2 linked regions of the Stegostoma tigrinum genome follow. The protein of the gene in region 2 binds, or shares a complex with, the protein of the main gene of each other region. Links are inferred from orthologs where the notes say so. Each region holds a gene or a part of one and is shown on either strand. Other genes may lie near its edges. The genes, in order: ADP-ribosylation factor-like protein 8B-A and plekhm2.

Evidence for each region.
Region 1: the proteins of plekhm2 (region 2) and ADP-ribosylation factor-like protein 8B-A are in contact, whole or in part, in a crystal structure (PDB 8JCA), measured with the Homo sapiens proteins. The link is inferred for Stegostoma tigrinum from reciprocal best matches to the Homo sapiens genes PLEKHM2 and ARL8B. Residues at the interface, in NP_055979.2 of Homo sapiens: His70, Phe71, Thr72, Arg73, Arg74, Glu75, Glu103, Ser105, Glu107, Ser108, Tyr109, Arg111, Leu112, Glu115, Glu147, Phe148; in NP_060654.1 of Homo sapiens: Glu22, Thr52, Val53, Gly54, Phe55, Asn56, Met57, Lys68, Trp70, Arg77, Phe78, Arg84, Tyr85, Arg87, Gly88, Val89.

Annotation. Positions count from the first base shown.
Region 1 is NC_081371.1:14,231,347-14,242,753, forward strand, and holds the start of ADP-ribosylation factor-like protein 8B-A, read right to left. Parts: upstream 5,103-11,407; 5' UTR 4,984-5,102; coding exon 4,855-4,983; intron 1-4,854. UniProt on the Homo sapiens protein: Small GTPase which cycles between active GTP-bound and inactive GDP-bound states.
Region 2 is NC_081381.1:31,745,762-31,757,464, reverse strand, and holds the start of plekhm2 (pleckstrin homology domain-containing family M member 2), read right to left. Parts: upstream 5,677-11,703; 5' UTR 5,563-5,676; coding exon 5,503-5,562; intron 1-5,502. UniProt on the Homo sapiens protein: Plays a role in lysosomes movement and localization at the cell periphery acting as an effector of ARL8B.

The sequences.
Region 1 (11,407 bases), on a different chromosome or scaffold from region 2:
GTCAGAAATAATAGTGTGATGCTGGAGGAACCCAACAGGCCAGGCAGCATCAGAGGTGCAAGAAAGCTGACATTTGGGGTCGGGTCCTTTCTTCACTTGCTGAAGATGTGTTCACCATGGAATATGACAGCATCCACCAGTTCCCACAAACTAGAACTGCAACACATTTCCTGCCCAGCCATCTCTGATTAAAATAATTAATTTGGATGTTAAATATTTTAACAGTTTTAACATATTCTTCAGCTGTAATATCTCCCGATTTAAGTGGCTAATCTAGACAGATACAGCAGAAGTATCAACGAGTCGGGGATGTTGTCCTGTGACACCACACTTCAGTCCCGACAGGTACAAACAGTTTGGAGGGGTTCTTTGCAACCAGTTTGTATCTCCTCTTGTTGCAGCCCTTCTCACCGAGATCCACTCTGCATCACAGGGATACTGGCCTGCTGCAAAATCCTCCCAGGCTGCATCAGGGATGCCGACCTGGTGTGCACACTTTCCAATCTGCCTTGAAGAGACGTTAACCTGCTTCATACTCCTCTCAGCCTTTGCAGAGCTGAAAGGGCTACATTTCCCGTTGTCGCTTGTGGTTCCTCAGTCGATGCTGATTCCTCTATCAGGTTTTGTTCCTTCTCTTACGCTTCACAGTACTTACATACAACTGAATGGTTTGCTCAACCATTTCAGATGGCATTGGGTCTGGAGTCACACGGCCAGAGCAGATAAACACAATACATCTCCTTTTCTTAGGAACCATACGAAATTGAAAGAGGAGTAGGCCATTCAGCCCCTCAAGCCTGCTCCACCATTCAACAGAATAGCTGTTCCGGCATACTTCACTTTCCTGGCCTTGCCCGTAACCCTCAATTCCCTGACTGATCAAGAATCTATCCATCACATCCTTAAATATACACAAGGACTCTGCCCCCAAAACTCTGTGGCAAGGAGTTCCAAAGATTCTCAATTTTCAGAAGAAACTCCTCTTCATCTCAGTATTAAATTGGTGCCCTTTTATTCTGAGACTATGGCCTTTTTTGTAAAAGAAATCATTTTTTTGTGGGATGTGGGTGTCACCGACGAGCAAGCATTTATTACTCATCCCTAGTTGCCCTTGAGAAGGTGGTGGTGAGCTGCCTTCTTGAGCCACTACATTCCTCCTGCCGTGGGTTGACCCACAATGCCATTAGAGAGGGAATCCAGTGACAGTGAATAATTGGCAATATATTTCCAAGTCAGGATGGTGAGTGGCTTGGAGAGGAACTTGAAAACAGTGGTGTTCCCATGTATCTGCTGCCTTTGTCCTTATAGGTGGAAGTTGTCTTGGCTTTGGAAGGTGCTGTCTAAGGATCTTTGGTGAATTTCTGCAGCGCATCTTGTAGCTAGTACACACTGCGGCTACTGAGCATCAGTGGTGGAGGGAGTAGATGTTCATCAACATAATGCGAATGAAGTGGACTGCTTTTTCTGGATGGTGTCAAGCTTCTTGAGTGCTGTTGGGGATGCACTCATCCAGGCAAGTGGGGAGTATTCCATCACACTCCTGATTTGTACTGTGTAGATGTTGGACAGGCTTTCAGGAGTCTGGTGGTGAGTTACTGCTAGTCTCTGACCAGCTCTTGTAGTCATTGTGTTTATGTGGTGAGTCCAGTTAAGTTTCTGATCAATGGTAATTCCCACGATATTGATAGAGGGCGTCTGAGATTCTCTTATGATAGGAAACATCCTCTCAGTATTTATTCTGTCAAGCCCCTTAAGAATCCTACATGTTTCCCCAAGATCACCTCTCATTCCTGTAAACGCCACGATTGAATCCCAAACTGTTTAGCCTTTGCTCATAAGACAGTCCCTCCATACCAGGGAGCATCCTTGTAAACCTTCTCTGAATTGCCTCCAATCTTTCCTTAAATACAGGACTATAAACTGCTCACAGTACCTCAGATGTGATTTCACCAGCAACTTGTACAGTTGCAGTAAGACTCCCCTACTCTTATTCTCCAACCTCCTTGAAATAAGGGCCAAGATTCCATTAACCTTTATGATTACTTGCTGCGTTGGTGTGTTAGCTTTCTGTGCTTCATGCACAAGTACCTCAAGGTCCTTTTTTTGCAGCTTTCTGCTATTTTTGTCCATTTAAATAATTCTGTTCTTTTGCTGTCCCTTCCAAAATGAACTTTGCATCCTCCCACATTATTTGCCATTTGCCAACTTTTTGTCCTCTTACTTAACCTGTCAATAACTCTCTGTAAACTGTTGAATCCCTCGCACAGCTTGTCTTTCCTCCTACTTGTGTCATCTGCAAATCTGGCAACAGTACATTCACTTCCTTCCTTCAAGTCATTAACATATATTGTAAACAGGTGGAGTCCTAGCACTGATCCCTATGGAATGCCATTGGTCACTGGTCACCAACACAAGAATAAACCCGTAATCCCTACTCGTTATTTCCTGCCCATTAGCCAATTCTCAAGACATGAGAGACATCAACAAGTTTCATAGTCAACGTTACACTCGCTTTAAATTCCAGATTTATTGATTGATTTCAAATTTCACCATTTCCCACGATGGAATTCAAACTCTTGTGCCCAGACCATCTGCCTGAAATTTAGGATTACAAATCCAGTGAAATTATCACCACATCATCATCTTCCCTGTACAGGTAGAAAGAAATTTGAAACCAACGTTAAAAACTTGAAAATAACTATGTGGCATAACAGACAGCCAAGGAATGTTAGGCGGTACATGGCACCTGATTTGAATGAGAAATAGGCAGCTGAGTTTTGGATGACCTCACGTTTACAAAGAGTGCAAACCAGGAGGCTAGCCATTATTGGAATAGTTGATTCTAAAGGTAACAAAACTGTGGTTGAAAGTTTCCACAGCAGATAGGCCAAGGAAAGACTGAAAATGGTTGAAGTTAGATGCACAAGTAGGTGATTGTGAACAATCTAGTTCAAGTTCACACAGTTCCCAAGGAAAGGGATGGAGTCAATGAGTAGGGAGCAGAGTTTTTGTTGGACATCGAATGTCCAAGGTTCCCAATATTCAGTTGGCAGGAAATTCTATTCATCCAACAGGAAAACGATGGATCTCATGAAGAGTTCCATCTGCAACTTGATTTGTTCTTGAGTATTACTGAAAGGCACAATGTAAATGAGATATTGGAGGGAACTGTGGACAGATCCTTGGTGGACACTTGGATGGAAGGGAAATCAATGTTGATCATTCTCCAGTGGTGATTGAATAATTAGCAATGGAACCAAGTGATGACAATCCCACACAATTGGATGTTCTCAGGCAAGATGTTGGAAGAGAATGGTGTGTGGTTAACCATGTTAAAATGGCAGCAGGCAATGAAAAGGGATTGATTTACGCTTGTCACAATCAGAATCAAACAGGTTTACAACCAGATAGCTGTCTTTCACTTAGCTGATGAGTCAGCATCCCCAGAGAGGCTGGTGAAAAGTAAATGACTGGTCAATGCAAGAAGACAGAATGTGCTGTAGTGGTTTTGGAAATAAATACTGGAAATATTTGGAGGTCAGGTGGCAATCAGAAGCAAATAGGAAAAACATTTTAGGGCTTATGACCATTTTTCTCAACCAGACTGGGAGCTGATGAACTTATTGCATTATTTCTATTGAAAATTAAAGGACACAATTGCCTTTGGGGGCTAACTCTCTTTAAAAATAAACACCCATTTTAAAATACAGGAATGCAGAAAGGTATTCCAAAATGGATAGAAGTTCTGCATCTGAAGGCAAATATGGATTTTTGAGCTTTTTCAAAACATCATTTTCTGAGTTTTACAGTACTGCAGTAACTATTCTGTCCAATGACAATCTATACTTAACACAAGAGGCAAGCTTTCTCTTAACTTGCTTGGCAAACAACTATGAATTACATAAAATCATAATCGCACAGGAGGAAATAAAGTTGTTTTTTTTATTTTAAATTACAGCACGAAGAATGTTTTTCATTCTCTCCTTGACATCCAGCTGCAATTCTATAAAGAATCGCAGAAATCTCTAAGTTTGCGAGGAGGCGGAGATGGTAGGGAAAAAACAAGGTTGTCAAAAATTAAAATCACTGAAAAAAACAGAAAAAGTACTTTTAGCTATTGAAAGAGGACACAGTGCAAATGATCATTTTGAAAGTATCACCCCAGAATTTATAATTAACAATTATTGGTGATGTTGCTAACCAGTTATACATGTGAATGATTGACACAACTTGTTATCTCCTGGGAAGGGATTGTGCAATATCAGGTGACTCATCAGTTGGACCATACATGATAGCACAATGTATATGTGTACATACACAGACGTACAAACACACACAAATAAAATGATGTTATCACATTAGCGATGGGTGGGGTGCTGAGCAAGGAAAGGTACATCTTCATACACTAAAAGCTGGAAATAATATAGACTGACATGGGCATAAACAGTAAAGCACCATAACATGCAATCATTGGCAGGAAATGATGATAAGGCCGTTTCCAGGAGGGATCTAGTAGGAGCATATATAACTGAGAGGAGCAGGGCAGCTCTTCACTGACGCCCGAGCTGGGTACCCAAGCCTGAAAGGCCGCTGAGACAGAAGGGAGTACAGCGCTTCCCATCCAAGCCTCAGCTCTCCGTAAGCTTTCCGTTTTAACACCAAGTGCTTTCGCTGGTAAAGGGTGGAGGGGGAGGTGAAGAAAGAGGGAGAGGCTGTGCCCTAAAGTCAGGGCCTGCTTCCCGTCCTGGTGGTCAAAGGTGACTGATAAGTGATGAATAATGATAGTGACAATAATTAATAAACACACAATGAAACACTTAGGCACTGGTTCATGGTTAAGTAGATTCACTGTACCGCGATCACATTCACAAACGTCGTCTTGCCCGAGTACTGCAGCCCGACCAGGGTCAGCTCCATCTCCTCCTTCCAGAACAGGGACTTAAACCAGTCCAACAACTTATTAATCAGCACCAACATGCTCATCTTCTCTGGCTCCAGCTCTCCACTTCCTGCTGCTCTACCAGTTCAGCTTCAGCTTGCCTTATGTCTGCAGCTCCGCAGCCGGTGATCATATGACAGCTGAGCAAGGGAAGAGCGTAACATCAGCTGCCCAGTGAAAGGGAGGGCTATGTGTCCAAATGTCAACGCTTTAGGCACACTCCCAGAGCCACGATAAGGGAGCAGCTTGAAATAAATGGAGTAAAGAGACTCTAAAGAACTGAAAGCAGGTGCATATTTTTTAATGAATCGTTAAACAATGGAAAGCATAATCCATGCATTAAAAAAAACCGAAGGAGATTTTCATTTACTTATGTGTAAATGTGTCAACTGTTCACCTCGGTCGGAAGGTTGAGTTTATTCAAGAGGTATGAGCACATAATCTAGACTGGCATTCCAACTGCAGGGCGGGGGGACTGCTGCACTATCAGAGATGCCACTTTCTGGGGAGATGTTAAACCAAGACACAGTCTGCTCCCTCAGCTCAATCAAAGATTCCATCACTATGAGTTAAAGAAACCACAGGGCCTGTCCCCTGTCACTCAAACAACATCACTAAAACAGGTTGTTAGGTTATTTGCCTCACCGCTGACTATGGGGGCAGTGCACACTGCATTTCCTACATTGCAATGTCTACCTTATTAAGCATCTCGTTAACTGTAAGTGCTTCAGATATTATGGAATCATTCAGCATTGGAAGCCATTCAGCCCTACTTGCACGAGCCTTTTCAAAGACCATTCCAGGTGGTTGCACATAATATATGGGTCTGAAAGGGTTAACTCTGAGGCCAGCTATAAACACCACCCACTATGATAGTTGCAAATGGATTTGTGGGCAAAACAACTTAGAAAGAGTTAAAGGAGTTGCCTCTAATGTCTGGTCCTCCTCAAAATCTCTGAAACAATAGCTATCATTCTCAATGTAACCTATACCTGAAGATTGCTGTGAAAATTTCATGCCTTATCTTTTGTACTGATGTGCTGGGCTCTTCCATTAATGAGGATGGGGATGTTTGTGGAGCCTCCTCCTCCAGTGAGTTGTTTAATTTTCCACCACCATTCACAAATGGATGTGGCAGGACTTCAGGGCTTAGATCCAAACTATTAGTTATGCTAGCTCTGTCTATCACTTGCTGTCCAAGCCTTTTGGTGTGCAGGGAGCCCTGTTTTGTAGCTTCACCAGTTTGACACCTCATTTTTAGGTTTGCCTGGTGCTGCTCCTGGCATGCCCTCCTGCACTCTCCATTGAACCAGAGTTGATTCCACCATCTTAAATAAAAACCCAAAGAACTGCAGATGCTGTAAATCAGTAGCAAAAACAAAGTTGCTGGAAAAGCTCAGCATCTGTGAAGGAAAAAAACAGAGTTAGCGTTTCAGTTCTGAGGAAGGTTTCCGGACCCGAAACGTTAACTTTGTTTTTTCCTTCACAGATGCTGCCAGACCTGCAAAGCTTCTCCAGAAACTTTGTTTTTGATCCCCTGGCTTGATGGTAATGGTTGAGCGGGGGTTAAGCTGAGCCATGAGGTTGCAGATTGTGCTTGAGTACAATTCTAATGCCGTTGTTGGCCCACAGCACCTCATGTATTCCAGTCCTGACATGCTAGATCAGTTCAAAGTCTGTCCCAGTTATCATAGTGATAATGCCACACAGCATGATGGAGGATATTCTCAACGTGAAAGCAGGACTTCGTCTCCATAAGGACTGTGCATTGGCCACATCTACCGATGCTGTTGTGGGCAGAACCACCTGCAGCCAGAAGATTGGTAACGATGAGGTCAAGTATGATTTTTTTTTCTCTCTCTTGTTGGTTCCTGCCCCACCTGCAGCAGCCCAGTCTTACAGCTAGCTCCTTCAGAACACGATGAGCTCAATCAGTAGCTGAGACATTCTAGGTGATGGATATTGAAATTCCCCACCCAAAGTGCATTTTCTGCCTTTGCCACCCTCCAGTGTTGTACAACATGGAGGAGTACTGATTCATCAGCCGAGGGAAGACAGTATGTGATAATCAGCAGTAGGTTTCTTTGCCCATGTTTAACCTGAAGCTACATGAATTCAAAGGGGTTCGGAGTCAATGTTGGGGACTCTAGGGTAACTCCCTCCCAACTATGCAACCACCTCTGCTGGGAGTCTCTTGCCGATGGGTCAGGATACATCCAAGGATGGTGATGGTGGTGTCTGGGACATTGTCTGTAAAGTATAATTCTGTGAGTATGACTGTTTCACCCTGTTGCTTGATTAGGCTGTGAGACAGCTCTCACAATTATGGCACTAACCCCTAGATGTTGGTAAGGAGGAATATGCAAGGCTGTTTCTGCCATTGCCTTTTCTGGTGCTTAAGTTGATGCCAGGTGGTCCACCTGCTTTCATTTCTTTGTTGAGACTTTGTAGCAATTGATACAACTGAGTAGCTTGCACAACCATTTCAGAGGGAAGTTGACAATCAACCACAATGTTGTAGATTTGGAGTCACAGATAGGCCAGACCAGATGGGGATGTCAGATCTCTCACCCTAAAGGACATTAGTGAGCCAAATTTTTTTTTTGGGCAGTTGATAATGGTTATGTGGTCGTCATTAGATTCTTAATTCCAGAGGTTTTTAATTGAATTCGAATTCCACCAATTGCCATGGCAGGATTCAAACTCGGGTCCCTCGAATATTAGTTGAGTTTTTGGATTAATAGTCTAGAGACAATACATTAGGCCATCACCTAAAGATAATCCCTGCTGAAAGTTTCCTTACATTTTCACACAATCTCCACAGCACTCATTCAATTTAAAAATAATTTTGATTCTAAGAAAGATTTTTCAAACTGGTGACAAACAATAGTCTCTTACAATCTCAGGGAGGGAAAAGAACAATGTCTCCAAGTTTTCATTGGATGAACATAATTTTCCTACTTCTTCAATTTAGATTTTATTTACAACCTTCTCCCAGAGTGATCCTTCTAGAAATTCCATTCAGATCAAGCAAAGCAATTGAGTCCAAAAACTGAAACATGTATTTTATCATGAACTATCCTTGAGTCAATTTTCCTGCAGTTTGTATAGGGATATTTTCACACACGTTAAACACGCAACAGCTTTAAAACATACACGACCCGATATAAAACTGAAACTTAATACATTCTGCTGGGTCTCAAATGGAAGACACACAAAGAGCAGGACAACCTTGTAGAAAAGCACAAAGACAAAACCTATATATAAATCATTTCCCTGTTTCTTTATCCGAGAACAATCTAGGTTTCTGTGGTGTTCGCAATTTAATTCTTATAACCCTTCCCTGAGTTGTTTCTAAGTTTTATTTCATCACAGTCTTATAGAGTCATAGAGACACACAGCATGGAAATGGACCCTTCAGTCCAGTTCATCCATGCCAACCAGGTATCCCAAATTTAACTATGTTTGCCTGTGTTTGGTCCACTTCATTCTAAACCGTTCCACCTCATGTACCTGTCTTTATTGGAATTGGTGTCTCAGTGGACCTTCTGTCCACTGTTCCATTTCAGTTACTGGATTATCCACCTCTGACATCTTTATGGTCTCAGAAACAATGGGGCATAGTTTACCAGCAGTTTTTTTTGACATCACAGACCTTTGACAAAAATTTGTGTTTTTTCCACATTGTATCTTCTTATTGTCAAAACCATAGGGCACTTCTTTCACCAGAATACCTTATTTTTCTTTGATGCACCATGAAACAAACCCAGTACACCGCCACCATCAGTGTACATTAAGTAACAGAGAGGGAACAAATTTATAATTACAAGATTGAAAGTGATTAACAAAACACAAGAATGAAAAATACATTGGCTTACAGAGCTTTTGTATGTGTTTGTGTGTGTTTGTGTCTCTATTGGTTTACAGCAATTGGAGCTAATAAATAATAAACAAATTGTGGATGAAGTTTATAAATATTTTTCTTCTATCTTCACTATAAACAATACAAACCAAATCCCAATAGTACCTGTAAATCTGGAGGTTAAAGCATAAGAGGAACTTATTGTGATTATGAGCAAATTGGAAAGCCATATTTGGGGTCACAACAGTTCAGTCACTCACTTGTATGCTGACTTCCCTTTGACACTGCTAAATGTGATCTGTGCCACCAGTGTTGCTGATGGGATGGAGACTGAAGACTCAACTCCTCATTCTACCAAGGAAATTGGTTCCATACTTTGTCTACTGAACTATTAACACATATAGAATAGAGAGGAGCCATAAGACTATAAGGCATAGGAGTGGAAGTAAGGCCATTCGGCCCATCAAGTCCACTCCGCCATTTAAATCATGGCTGATGGGCATTTCAACTCCACTTCCCTGCCCTTGATTCCTTCTGAGATCAAGAATTTGTCGATCTCTGCCTTGAAGACATCCAATGTCTGGCCTCCACTGCACTTGAGCCCTGAGTGCACAACAAGCCATACACACAATAGCAGCTGTTGCACTAGACAGTCATCACATTTAGTGTTGGGATGACCAGTGTTGGTCATGGATCAAAAAAGAAGAGATATGGCCATCCATGGAGTTGTAGACCAGCAGAGATAGTACATAGCTTGTACTAACAAAGTGGGTTCACATAGGGACTCTAAGAACCTTGTCGCACTGCGGGTTAATTGTCTACCGTTGATTGATTAGCAAACCAAATAAGCAACTTAACCAATGAGCTGACCCAAAAATCTCAGTTGGTCAGGAAAAGAATCAAAGTCAATGGTCCTCTACCCAGCTAACTACGAGTCCTCCAAACCTGATGAGAATGTGTTTGGGTGAATAGAGAAAGCTCAAATTGCCTAAATTTGTAACGTTACAGTTTTTTTTTCTGGGGGGTGGTGGGTGAGGTGGGCAGCTGTAAATGGAATTATATATGCAATGGTATAAATTAATAATGAGAAGAAAAAGTTTAGGAAGAGATGCATATGTGTTTAAATTGGTATGACAGGATTTTAAAAAATTAATCAGCCTGTTGAGATTTGTGGAGGAGAGGAGTGCCATAGGATGTTAATGTCTTATACATTTGTCAGATAAGAATCTCAAAGAAGCTGAACCTAACATGTGGCCCTCCTCAATTCTCTGTAACAATGTCTATTATATACTAATGTAATCTGCAATCAGTTGTTCACTTGCAAAAAACTATCTTTTGTTAATTAAATCAGACTCTTGTAGTTAAACTGGTAATCAATGAACAGAAGACATTTCGAAGCTCAAAGGGACAGAGAGATCTTGCGTTGCTTGTCCACAGATCCTTGAAAGTGCCAGAATTAGTTAACAAGTTTGTTAAGAAGGCATATGGAAGGCTTGCCTTTATCAGTCATGCCATAGATTATAAACGCAAGGACGTCATGTTGGAGCTGTGCAAAACTTTGGTTGGGTCACAGCTGGAGTACTGTGTGCAGTTCTAGCCAACACACGATAGGAAGGATGTGATTGTGCTGTCAGGCTTGCAAATGAGATTCACCAGCATGTTGCCTGGAATGGAGCATTTCAGCTGCAAAAAGAGGCTAGATAAGCCTGGGTTGTTTCTTTGGAGAAGAGAAAGTAAAGTGGAGACCTAATATAAGTCTGTACCATTATGAGGGGCATGAATAAAGTGAATAGAAAGCACCTGTTTCTCTTAGTCGAATAACAAGGTTCCAATAGGGGCTCTTGTGGTGTAATGGTAATATTCTTATCTCTGAGTCACAGTGGCTTGGATTCGAGGCCCACCTGCTCCAGAGATACGTAATAGCATCGCTACACAGGTTGATTAGAAGAATCTAACAACGGGACATAATTTTAAAGGAGAAGGCAGAAGGTTTAGAAGGGATTTGAAGAAAACATTCTTACCCAAAGGTTGGTGAGGTTCTGGAATGCATTGCATGGAATGGTCATTGAGGCGGGAAAACTCACAACCTTTAAAAGCACTTGGATGAGCACTTGATTTGTCATAGCATTCAAGGCTCTGGGCCTAGTGTGAGAAGATGGGACTAATGTAGGTAATAGTATATTTTTGGCAGTATAGACTTAATGGGCTGAAGGGTCTCCTCTGTACTGTATAATTTTACAGACCACCAAGCAGCTGCTGTCATTTACTGAAACTGGAAGAGGTGGGTCTGAGCAAGTGAGTTTATGAGCAACCCCTTGTACAATGTAATGTGCTTGTCTATCCATGCATCAGCACTCACTCACTTTCTCCATTGATCCCTGCATTTTCTCCCCATTAACAGCTTGTTCAATTCTATTTTGAAAGCTTCTACTGAACCTGTCGCCATCACCCAAACTGGCGGTGCATTCCAAATTTTAGCCATTCTTTGTGAAAAACTTTTCCTCAGGTCATTTTGGGTTTTTGTTTTGCATTGCACAATAAATCAGTGCCAGTTGGCCATCTGCCCTTGCTATCATTGCAAACAGTTTCTCTTTACTTACTTGAAA
Region 2 (11,703 bases):
AGCAGCTGTTCCAAATTCTTCTGTGTTCTATTGATAGGGCTGTTGTGGCACAGAGGTAAGATTCATACCTTTGGGCTAGGAGGCCAGGTACGAGTCTCACCTGTTCTAAGCATGTATAATTTAATCTGCTGACAGGCTGATTAAATACCTTGATGGGTACCCTAACTCTGAGCCATGTGACTTGGGTTTAAGTCCCTGCTGCCCTAGAGATGTGTCAGAACAACTCTAAACAGGCTGATTAAAATAAAGTACAGGCTCAGTAATCAGTGTGTTAGTAGTGGTGGTTAATTTAGATGACTCATGCCATAGACGTAGCACCCTACCTTTGAACCAGAAGGCCCAGGTTCAAGTCCGACCTGCTTCAGAAGTGTGTAATGACATCAAAGAACAGGTTGCTTTTAAAAACAAATCTACGTTAATGCTCTACTTGAACATTTCTGGGTCTGCAATTTCCAATGTGTAATTATACAAGGGGTCCTCTGTAGGATTGTTAGTGGAAAAATATACAGCAACATGGCTCAAAACTTAGACTTCACCACCTTCCAAGGACAACTGCCTTGCAAAGCATAGGCCAGAAAATGAACCCAGGACCTCGCTGGTTTGTGTAGATCATAATAAATTTACCCACATCCACTGGTAGAAGGGGTGAACAATGGGCAGCAATGCTGTTTTTAAGTATGACCATGAGGAGGGGTATAGTCAATGTAGGGCTGAAATGGAAGCTCCGGAGGCCAATGACATTTAGACATCACACTGTAGATTTTACTTAGGCAGTAAGCAAAGCTAAGAGTTGCAGTATTTTTAAACTAGAAGAATCAAATATCTATTGGATGGCAAGCATCTCTAAAACAAAATGTAGCAATTTTCATCTCAGAGACCAACCAAATCCAAGAATAAAGTACATTTAAAAGGAACCATATAAACTGATTATCATTTAAAAATGCCACAGTCGGAAGGGCTTGATCAAGCAGTGTTGGATCTAACCAAATGATCTGGGACTATCTTGTGGTACGCTAAATGGAAATTTATTCCCGATCTGTTCCACATTGCATAAACACGTGAAGTATCTGTTAGAGTCATACAGCACGGAAACAGACCCTTCAGTCCAACTCATCTGTGCTGACAGGATATGTTAAACTGATCAAGTCCCATGTGACTGCATTTGGACCATACCCCTCTAAAACTTTCCTATCATGCAGCCATCCAGATATCTTTTAAATTTGTTAACTGTACCCAACTCCATTATTAATTTTTAAAAAATTTAATAAATACCAACATTACTGGCTATCCCTTACAGACAAGGATAACTCTCTTCCACTCTCAGGGCAAGTCTGTAGGTTGCTGTACAGACTGATGCAGCTTTTGCAGGTTCTTTTTTTAAACACTTGGGGCAGCGGGTGGTTGTGGGAAAAGGTGGGTGGAATGTTGGTGTGGCAGTGCACTCCTTACTCTTTTTATCGTCTGGCTTCTGCTTTCTCCCAGCCCATAGTAAGCCTTGAGGAACTTGACGCCTTTCCGGTCATTGCTCTTCCACACTGGATGGTCTTGTGCCAGTAATTCCCAGGTGTCTCTGGGAATGCTGCACTTCACCAGGTAGGCCTTGAGGGTATCATTGAAGAGCTTCCTCTATCCACATGGGGTTCATCTGCCATTTTGAAGCTGGGGAATCTCGTGTTGGTCACACAGGCGATGTGCCCAGTCCATCACGACCAGTGCCTCGATGTTGGGGATGTTGGCCTGATTGAGGACGCTGGTATTGGTGCGTCTTTCTTCCCCAGCAGATTTGCAGGATCTTGCGCAAACAGCATTGGTGGTACAGCTCCAGTGCCCTGAGGTGTCTGCTGTAGACAGTCCATGTCTCAGAGCCATATGGGAGGCCGGAAACCACCAGAGCTCTGTAAACCAGCATCTTGATGTTGTATCTGATGTTGTTGTCCTCCAGTACCCTTTCCCTCAGGCAGCCAAAGACTGCGCTAGCAGACTGGAGGTGGTGCTGGATCTCTTCAACAATAACTGCTTTGGCCGATAGGAGGTATTGGAAGTGGCCAATGTTGTTTTAAGGCCTTCCCATGGGCCTTGATGATTGGGGATTCGTTCCACAATTCCAGGCCTGGTTGGCAGAGGACCTTCATGTTGCGGATGTACAGAATGAGATTCATGCTCTCATATGCCTCCACAAAAGGTGCTGATGATGGTCTGGAGCACATCCTCAGATTGCACATACGCAGGCGTTAATTTGCATACTGCAGCTCGATGAGTGGTTGGGGTGACTTTAGGTTTGGCTTGAAGGTGTTAGAGATTGAACAATTTCCTGCTGGCTCTGAGAGTTAGCTCCACTCCAGTGGGGAGCTTGTCAGCCGTGAGGTGAAGCACTGCAACGAAGGAGATCGAGAACAGTGTTGAACGATGATGTAGCCCTGCTTGACACTGGGGACTGAATGGGGGATGCACTGGTGGAGCCATTTATTATTACCATGACTTCCATGTCATCACAGAGCAGGCAAAGGATGATGACAAACTCCATGGTGCAACCAAAGTGGAGAAGGCCGCACCACGATGCTTCCCAATACGGTTAAAGGAGGCCACGTACAGGGTAAGGTTCTTTTCTCTGCATTTCTCCTGCAGCTGTTGCACAGTAAAAACCCACCCTCTACTATGCAGCATTTGTTACTTCCTTTCAGGACTCTGTCATCGATCCGAGCATCCTCGAATGCATCCCACAGCTTACTACATGCCACAAGTTCAGCAACACCCCAGCTCTGCACAAAGTAGTGAAGGCCATCTGCCAGCCTAAGATCAGCAAGGCTTCTGGTGGACATGGTACCCCTGCTGAGGCTTTGACGTAGGGAGGCAAAAAGCTCTTGCTGCAGCTACATGCCCTAGTGTGCTTTATCTGGAAGGAGGAGAGCATCCTGGGAGCGCTCCAAGATGCCACAGTCACGAGCATTTCCAGAAAAGGGAACAGGGCCAACTGCGTAACTACAGCAGAATCTCCTTGCAGTCGACTATTGGAAAAATTATCGTCAAGTTCCTCCCCAACTGCATCCTCCCTGTAGCTGAGGAACCTGCCCTGGGTCACAGTGTGGTTGTCAGCCATGGAGGAGCACAACGGACATGATTTCAATCAATACCAACACAATCCACAGGACTCACTTCACACAGTTTAATGTTAGATACAAGAAGCTGAAACCAAAAGTACTTATCAGCTGGACCCCAAATTGCCAATCCAGAACCCATGTATCGTACAGCATAAAAGATCATCAGCTCCAATGAAGGACAAAACCATGCTGTTCAACATAGCCCAATTGGCATTACCATCAACATCATGAGCAGGAATTTATTAGTTCAATTATTTTCAGAATGGACAATTAAAAACTCTCAACTAGAAAACACAGGAATAGGAAAATGCCATTCAACCTCTTGAGCCTGTTCCATCAATCAAATAATGGTTGATCTGTAACATAAATCCACATACCTGCCTTTGGCCCATATCCCTTAATACCTTTGCTCACGTTTAGAATTAACAACTGATACTCATTGGTAGAAGAGAGTTCAAACACTACCATTCTTTGTAGAAGTGCATCCTAACATTTCTCCTGAATGGTTTAGCCCTATTTCTCAGACTATAGCCCCAATTCTACAGAAGTAGGCAACCTAGGCAAAAATGTGACAAATAAATTCACCAGGGTTTTATCTATTGAATATTCTTTTAGTAGAACCCACAATTAACTTCTTCAATATGTTGTTGGATCTGCTGAACATAAACGAGGTCTTTTCTGCATTGTATAACAATTGTTGCTCTATTTGTTCTGCTAGTTATACAGTGTGGCAGAATGATCAAACACATTTGTACAGTGTGTAAATATTTAAATATGTTTAGTTATTACATTCCTTAGCATATGTGAAAGGATTAACAATGAATTTACTCCAAATATTAATTCTTGAATAGGCACTTCTACAAAGAAGAGGCGCGCTTTCTTCTTTCCTAAAATAAATTGGATTTGGACAATACACTGAAGAATTTACGATTTTAAAGTCAGTTATTGAATTTTAGTTTGAATTTTCATTCATTGAAAAGATAAAGAGAATGTCATTCAATTACAAAGGATGTGGATCTCTGTGGCTGTTTGACTTAACATGCTTGATGCTGACAATTGGTGTCCAGATTAGAAAGTACTCCAGTATCAACATTGCTTTCAAAAATTTACAGAATTTAGACAATCAAATGTGGAAACATGATTGAAAGTACCTGTTGCCCAGTACACTCGAGCTTCAATTTAAGAACTGTCAAACACGTCAGACAATAAGGAGCTACTCAGCAAGATTACAAATGATCTGTACAGAATACAGTTCCCACTGTAGCTAGCCAGTGGGCTGGTGCCATAGTTTATTATCCATAACTTCAGGCAGACAAACTATGTGAGTTTACACCGAGGTGGTGGTGGTGCATACATCATTATAATACTTTTTGCTAATCAATTTTAAAACATTTAGAAGCCCAAATCAAATGGTATTATTAAAAAAGCAACTGCACCATTAATTCAGATCTTTCTCCACAGATGCTGCCAGACTTACTGAACTTGTCCAGCAACTTATGTTTTTGTTTCTGATTTATAGCGTCTGCTGACCTTTTGCTTTTCATTAAATATATCTATGTATTTGAAATTTGAAGTACTAAATGAACAGGTTTGTTGTGATGAGTGATCACAACATGATAAGGATATCCAGGGTTGGAGCGTGGAACGCAATGCTAGAAGAGGTGGTGACAGCAGGCACATTGGCGACATTTAAGAGGCATGAATAGGGAGGGAATAGAGCGACATGGACAGAAGATTTTATTTAAATTTAGTTAGGGCATGATGATTGGTACAGGCTTGGAAGGACAATGGGCCTCTTTCTGGGCTGTACTTCTCTTTTGTTCTTCTCCCATGCTTCAGACTGCGATAAACGCCTCTGCAATTCACTTCAGTGGTAATAGCTAGGATTATTTGCCAAAGGCTGGTGCCCGTTATAAACGTAAACAATGTCTATGCGAGGGAGAATGCACGCATAAATGGTAAGATTTTTACAGAGGTTGATTAAGGGCTTTTTTTGTCGAAAGATTACCGTTGAGATTACCAACCTACGACAAAGCATCACAACACAGCAGGCTGCGCTTTCATGGCTCCTGCAACGAAGTGAGAAACAAGTCCAGGGCCATTCAGCTCATCAGGCCAATGTGATTGCTCAATCCCAGACCCCTTTTTCTCTATTAAAAAGGTGGATGCAGTTGTCAACTTCGAACATTGGTCTGCAGTTTAGCCTGGAAAACAGGCAGAATGGTACAGTGCGATCCTAACAACACTGGAATGCTTCCTAATAAAAAAATAGAAGCCAATTTTTTGTTGCCTGGCTCTGTACAACGCCCTGTCTCAGGCAGTGCCGCTGGGCGACCAAACGGGTCGGCAGTAATGACACGCACTAAATCCGCCGGTCAAGGTGCTGCAGACTCCAGCCTCTCACCTGCTTCACCGACAGCGAGATGTTCTCCAGGATCCGATCCTTCACTTTCAGGGTTTCCATACTCGCGGCCTCAGCATCCTCACCAGCAAAGACCAGCCCAGGCCCCGGGGCTCGCCGCTGACGCCCGGCTCACTCCCCTCACCGGTTAGGGCGCGCGCGCATGCGCGCTCTCCCGTCGACACGTGACCGCGCGCCCGATCACCGAAAGCGACAACCACGCGTGCGCGCTCTTGCATTCTGAGTGACGGGCTGTGCGTCAGACATTGAGAAGCGCCTGACGTCACGGGGGTTACCTCCGCCGTTTGTCCTTAAGGGGCGGGACTTCAGCGGGACGACGACCTTAAGAGGCGGGACTTCAGCTGGACAACGACCTTACGAGGCGGGACCTCAGCTGGACAACGACCTTAAGAGGCGGGACTTCAACTAGGCACGACCTCAAGGGGCGGGATAACACTGTGTGAAATTGGATGAACACAGAAGTCCAAGCCGCATCAGAGGAGCTGGAAAGTTTGACGTTTCGGGTCGAAACCCTTCTTCAGGGTAAATAAGCCTGAAGGCAAACCAAGGCAGCATAGGTTAATATAGTATCAGAGATAATGGGAACTGCAGATGCTGGAGAATCCAAGATAATAAAGTGTGAAGCTGGATGAACACAGCAGGCCAAGCAGCATCTCAGGAGCACAAAAGCTGACGTTTCGAGGGTCTAGGCCCGAAACGTCAGCTTTTCTGCTCCTGAGATGCTGCTTGGCCTGCTGTGTTCATCCAGCCTCACATTTTATTATCTCAGCATAGGTTAATGTTGTCCCTTCCTTAGGAAGAAGGGTGCCGACCCGAAACGTCAACCTTCCTGCTCCTATGATGCTGCTTGGCCTGCTGTGTTCGTCCAGCTCTACACCTTGTTATCTCGGATTCTCCAGCATCTGCAGTTCCGACCATCTCAAGAGGCGGGACTCCCGTCACACCACAACCTCAAGGGGCCAACACAGCAGGCCAAGCAGCATCTTAGGAGCACAAAAGCTGATTCTTTCTCAAGAAGGGTCTAGGCCCGAAACGTCAGCTTTTGTGCTCCTGAGATGCTGCTTGGCCTGCTGTGTTCATCCAGCCCCACACTTTGTTATGTCGGATTCTCCAGCATCTGCAGTTCCCATCATCTCTGACCTCAAGGGGCAGGTTTTATTTCTACTGTACCCTCCTGAACGGAGTCCCGAAGTTGCAGTTCTGGCGTATTATTTATGTGTGGGTAGGCAAGAAAAAAATCAACCCATGTAAAACACCAGGTGGTGTCATTGAGCTATTGAAATAGCAGACTCCCATCAAGCGCTGTTTTAATAAAATATGGATTTGAGTTGATACTGAGTTTCCTACTTTTCTAATTTTTACGTGGAAGTGAGATGAATTAGAACGGCCCTTTGAAAGCAACTGCGAGGCATGATGAGCAGACTGTATCCTGAATGCAATTGTAGTCAGGTCCATACTAATAACTGAGATAATAAAATGTGAGGCTGGATGAACACAGCAGGCTGCTCCTGAGATGCTGCTGGGCCTGCTGTGTTCATCCAGCCTCACATTTTATTATCTTGGATTCTCCAGCATCTGCAGTTCCCATTATCACCCATACTAATAACTGATTCAGTACCTCCCCCAAAGTGGCCATTCTGTGTGTGGCTTTCAGCCGGTGACGAAAACAGACCCAGGACCTTTCCACTGAGATCACTGCGTCCCCATCAGCTGCAGGAGCCCTGCATCATATTACCCCCTTTAATCCAGGGGTGAGGGCGGTTGTAGCAACTGCAGTAGCTCTGCCCACACTCAACAAATCGCACACCTTATTCAGTTCAACTACCAAAAAGCAATCAAAAGAATGCCAAAGTTTTTTTCTTTAAATTGTTTAGCCTACCCCCTTGCCAATCACCTACTGAAAGGGGCAAGAGACTCACGTAATCATGCTTTCCATAAGAAAGTGCGTGATGCATGAAAAAAAAAGTTGCTGGAAAAGCTCAGCAGGTCTGCCAGCATCTGTGAAGGAAAAAACAGAGTTAATGTTTTGGGTCCAGTGACCCTTCCACAGAACTGATGATGCATGATGCATGACACTACTTTTGCTGAAATTCCTTGCATACCTCACCAAGCTGATCTTCACTCAATGTTTCAGAATATGAAACCATGATTATAACAAGTTATATTCTGGTTAGTTTCAGGAGCCTGGCCCACCATTTGATTATGTTACTTGCCTTGTGATGGTCTTGAAAGCTGAATGCAGCAGAATGGCAGTGAATAAGTATCACTGTCTGCTGAAGCCAAGGAAAGACCCACAGTCTGTAACAAACTGGTGTTGAAACATTTTCTAGAAGTCGTTCGTACTTCATGAGCTCTTAGAATGATGGATCACTGTTTAAAGTAAGGGTTCGTCCATTTAAGTCAGAGATGAGGACTCAACTTTTTTTTGGAGACGGTGGTGAGTCTTTGGCACTCACTTCCTGGAAAAGGCAGTGGAGGTAGAATCTCTGAATACTTTTAAAGCAGGGATATATCAATTCTTGCTAAGCGAGGGGTGAAGGAAAGATTGCTGGGGTTAGGTGGGAATGTGGAGTATTCAGATTGACCATGATCTTATTGAATGGCCAAAGAGGTTCAGAGGTCCACAAGTGGCTGGGTGGACAGGTGAGATGAGGGTGGGTGGAGTCGGATGGCCATTGAGTAATAGAATCATACAGCACAGAAACACACCCTTCAGTTCAACTTGTCCATGCCAATCAAGTTTTCCCAAACTAAACTGGCTCCAATTGCCTGCATTTGGCCCATATCCCTCTAAACCTTTCCTATTCATGCACCTCTCCAAATGTCTTTTGAATATGGTAATTGTACCCACGTCTACCACTTGCTCTGCCAGTTCATTTCATATACAAACCACTTTCTGTGTGAAAACATTGCCTTGCAGGTCCCTTTTAAATCTTTTTCCTCTTGTTAAAATTATGACACATAGTTTTGAGCTTGCCCACCTAAGGAAAAATACCATTGCTATTCACTTTATCTTTGACCCTCATGACTCTATAAAGCCTCAGTAGGGGCACACCTCAACCTCCTATGCTCCAGTGGGAAAAAAAACCCAACCTATGCAGCCTCTACTTATAAACCAAACCCTCCAGTTCCAGCAGCAGCTTGGTAAATCTTTTCTGCACCCTCTCCAATTTTCACAGGGTGACCAGAAGTGGACACAGTATTGTAGAAGAGGCTTTACCAGTGTCTTGTACAACCTCAACAAGACATCCCAATTCATATACTCATGTTCTAAGCAATGAAAGCAAGTGTGCTAAATGCCTTCTGAACACCCTGTTTATCTGTGACGCAGCTTTATCTACCTGAACCCCTATGTCTCTCTGTTCGACAACACTACCCATGTCCCTTCCCTTAACAGTACAAGTCCTGACCTTTATTTGTTTTACCAAAATGCAATCCCTGGTATTTATCCAAATTAAACTCCTCCGCTCATTGGCCCAATTGATCAAGGTCTCCTTGTAATCTTGGATAACCTTCTTCACTGTCAGCTACATCACCAATTTTGGTGTCATCCGCAAACTAATTAACTATCCCGTTAAATTCTCATTCAAATCATTTATATAAATAACAAACAAAAGTGGACCCAGCACCAATCCCTATGGAACACCGGTAGTTACAGACCTCCAGTCTGAAAAACACTTTTGTAGCCAAAAAAACGCAAGGGTGAAAGTCCTGTCACATAATGGAGTTTTTGCTGCTGTTCATTGGGATGAACAAGTTGCTACTGTCCAAATTTTGAAATATTGGCCTCGAGGCAAGAATCAAAACCCATGCATAGAAAATAGGAGGAGTAGGTCATTTAGCCCATCAAACTTTTTCTACTATTCAATATTATCATGGCTAATCTTCTGTCTCAATGTCATATTCCTACTTTTTTCCCATAGCCTTTGATTCCTTAAATTGTCTTCAAACCCATAAATTTAAACGAAGACACCCTAACAGTGTGTGTAGAAGGCCAGAATGGACAGTGATATATTTGTCTCTTCAAGGTAAACCTTGGAAACAAAAGATGTGATTGCATATGCAACCTAACCATTGAAAATTCAATACAATTGACACATTATATTCTATCCAGCTTTATCCTTCAAAAATAATAGAATAGCTTTAGCACAGAAAGAAGTCATTCTGCCTTCATGTCCTTCCCATTTCTCTACACAGCAACTGAACTAATTGCACTCACTTCACCTTTCCCTGAAGATCTTAAAATATTTCACTTCATTTAATTGCCCAATTAATTTTTGAAAGTTATGATTCAACCTGTTCCACCACAGACATAGGCTAATCACCCATTGCGTTAAAAATGTTTTTCCTCACATTACCTTCAGTTATTTTGTGCCAATCATTTTAATGAAAAGGAGAGTGAGCTTCTTCATCCCTTATACCTATAATATTCTTTGTCTCATTTTGATCCCAAAGAGTATTTGCAATCTTATGAAGCAAGGAAAGCATTCAATTTATTTAATTTTATTTTTCTTACTGCAGCTTCATCCCTCCTTAAGACTGCGAGAGACAAGGTCATGTGAAGTTGCATCACTTCCTGTGTTGTTACATTGCAGTATCCAATTAGCATTAGCAGACTTTACCTTTCTTTATCTTTTTAATCTTCCATGGGATAGAGATGTTACGAGAAAGGCAAGCATTTGTTGTCTATCACTAATTGCCCTTGAACTGAGTGGCTTGCTGAATTTCAGAGGGCAGTTAAGAGTCGTTGCTGTGGATCTGGAGTCACATGTGGACCATGTATTAGGACCTGAAAGGATTGACTGACATTATGAGATAGGCTGCACTCATCAGGATATAAAGGACATCCTGGGAGGGGATAACTGGTTCCCTGTGTGCTTCTGCGCTTGTTGTCAATGCTGTGTGCAAATGTATTAGTATTAATAGTGTAGTGGTATCAGAAGCTTACACTTAAGGTGAGTCTGATACAGGATTAGGGATGCCTTGCTGTAACTGTACAGGGCCTTGGTGAGATACACGTAGAGTACTATGTAAGGTTTTATTCTCATCTGGGAAAGGGTGTTCTGTCTTTGAAGAGAGCACAACAAAGGTTTGCCAGCCTGATTCCTGGGATGGTAGGACTGATGTAGGGAGACAGATTGAATTGATTGGGACTATATTCACTGGAGTTTAAAAGAATAGGGAGGATCTCACAGAATTTTATAAGTTTCTAATAGGATTCGACAAGATAACTGCTGGAAGGATAGTACTAATAACAGAGAATTTCAAAACTAGGAAACTCAATATAAGGGTATGGGAGGAGGCCATTTAGGACTGAGAAAAGGAGAAATTTCTTCACTCAGAGAGTGGTGAGTGTGAAATTCTGTGGCTGGGGCCAAAACAGTGAGTGTTTCCAAGAAGAAGTTTGATGTAGTTCTTAAGGCTAAAGGGATCAAAGGGTATGGAGTGAAAACTTAAACTGAGAACTGAGTTAGATGATCAGCCATGATCATATTGAATGTTGGAGCAGGTAAAGGGCTGAATGGCCTATTCCTGCTCCTATATTTTGATTAACCACAACAGGCAGTCCTATGTCTTAAACAAAATGTAGCTAGCCAATATATAATAAATTTAATTACTCTTCTTCAAGATTGAACTTATTTACTGTCTCAGATGCGTGTGGGCACCCTTCCCGCATGGTATCAATAAACAAAGCATACCAACAAGAAGGATTAGTGGCCACATCTCATATCTGACATTTATAACATGGGGACAGTGAGGAGGAATGGTCAATTTTAAGATAGTAGCACTCACGGGATTTGAAACTATAACAGGCTAGACCAGATGAGGATGGAAGATTCCTTCCCTAACGATGCTAGTCATTTATTTAATTATTCAGGGAATGTGGGCACTCTGGCTGTCCCTAGTTTCTCTTGAGAAGGTGGTGGTGAGCTGTCTTCTTGAACTGCTGCAGTTCATTTCATGTCAGTAAACCAGTGATATAATGAGGGGAGAAATTCCCAGATTTTGGCCCAGTGACACTGAAAGAACAGGGATATATTTCCAAGTCAGGATGGTGTGTGCATACATACTATTGATTAACCTGCAAAAGTGTTGTGACATATCTCTGGAGAAGCTGGGACTTGAACCTGGGCCTGCTAGCTCAGAGGTGGGGCCATTACTATTCTGCAACCTTCACTGGCG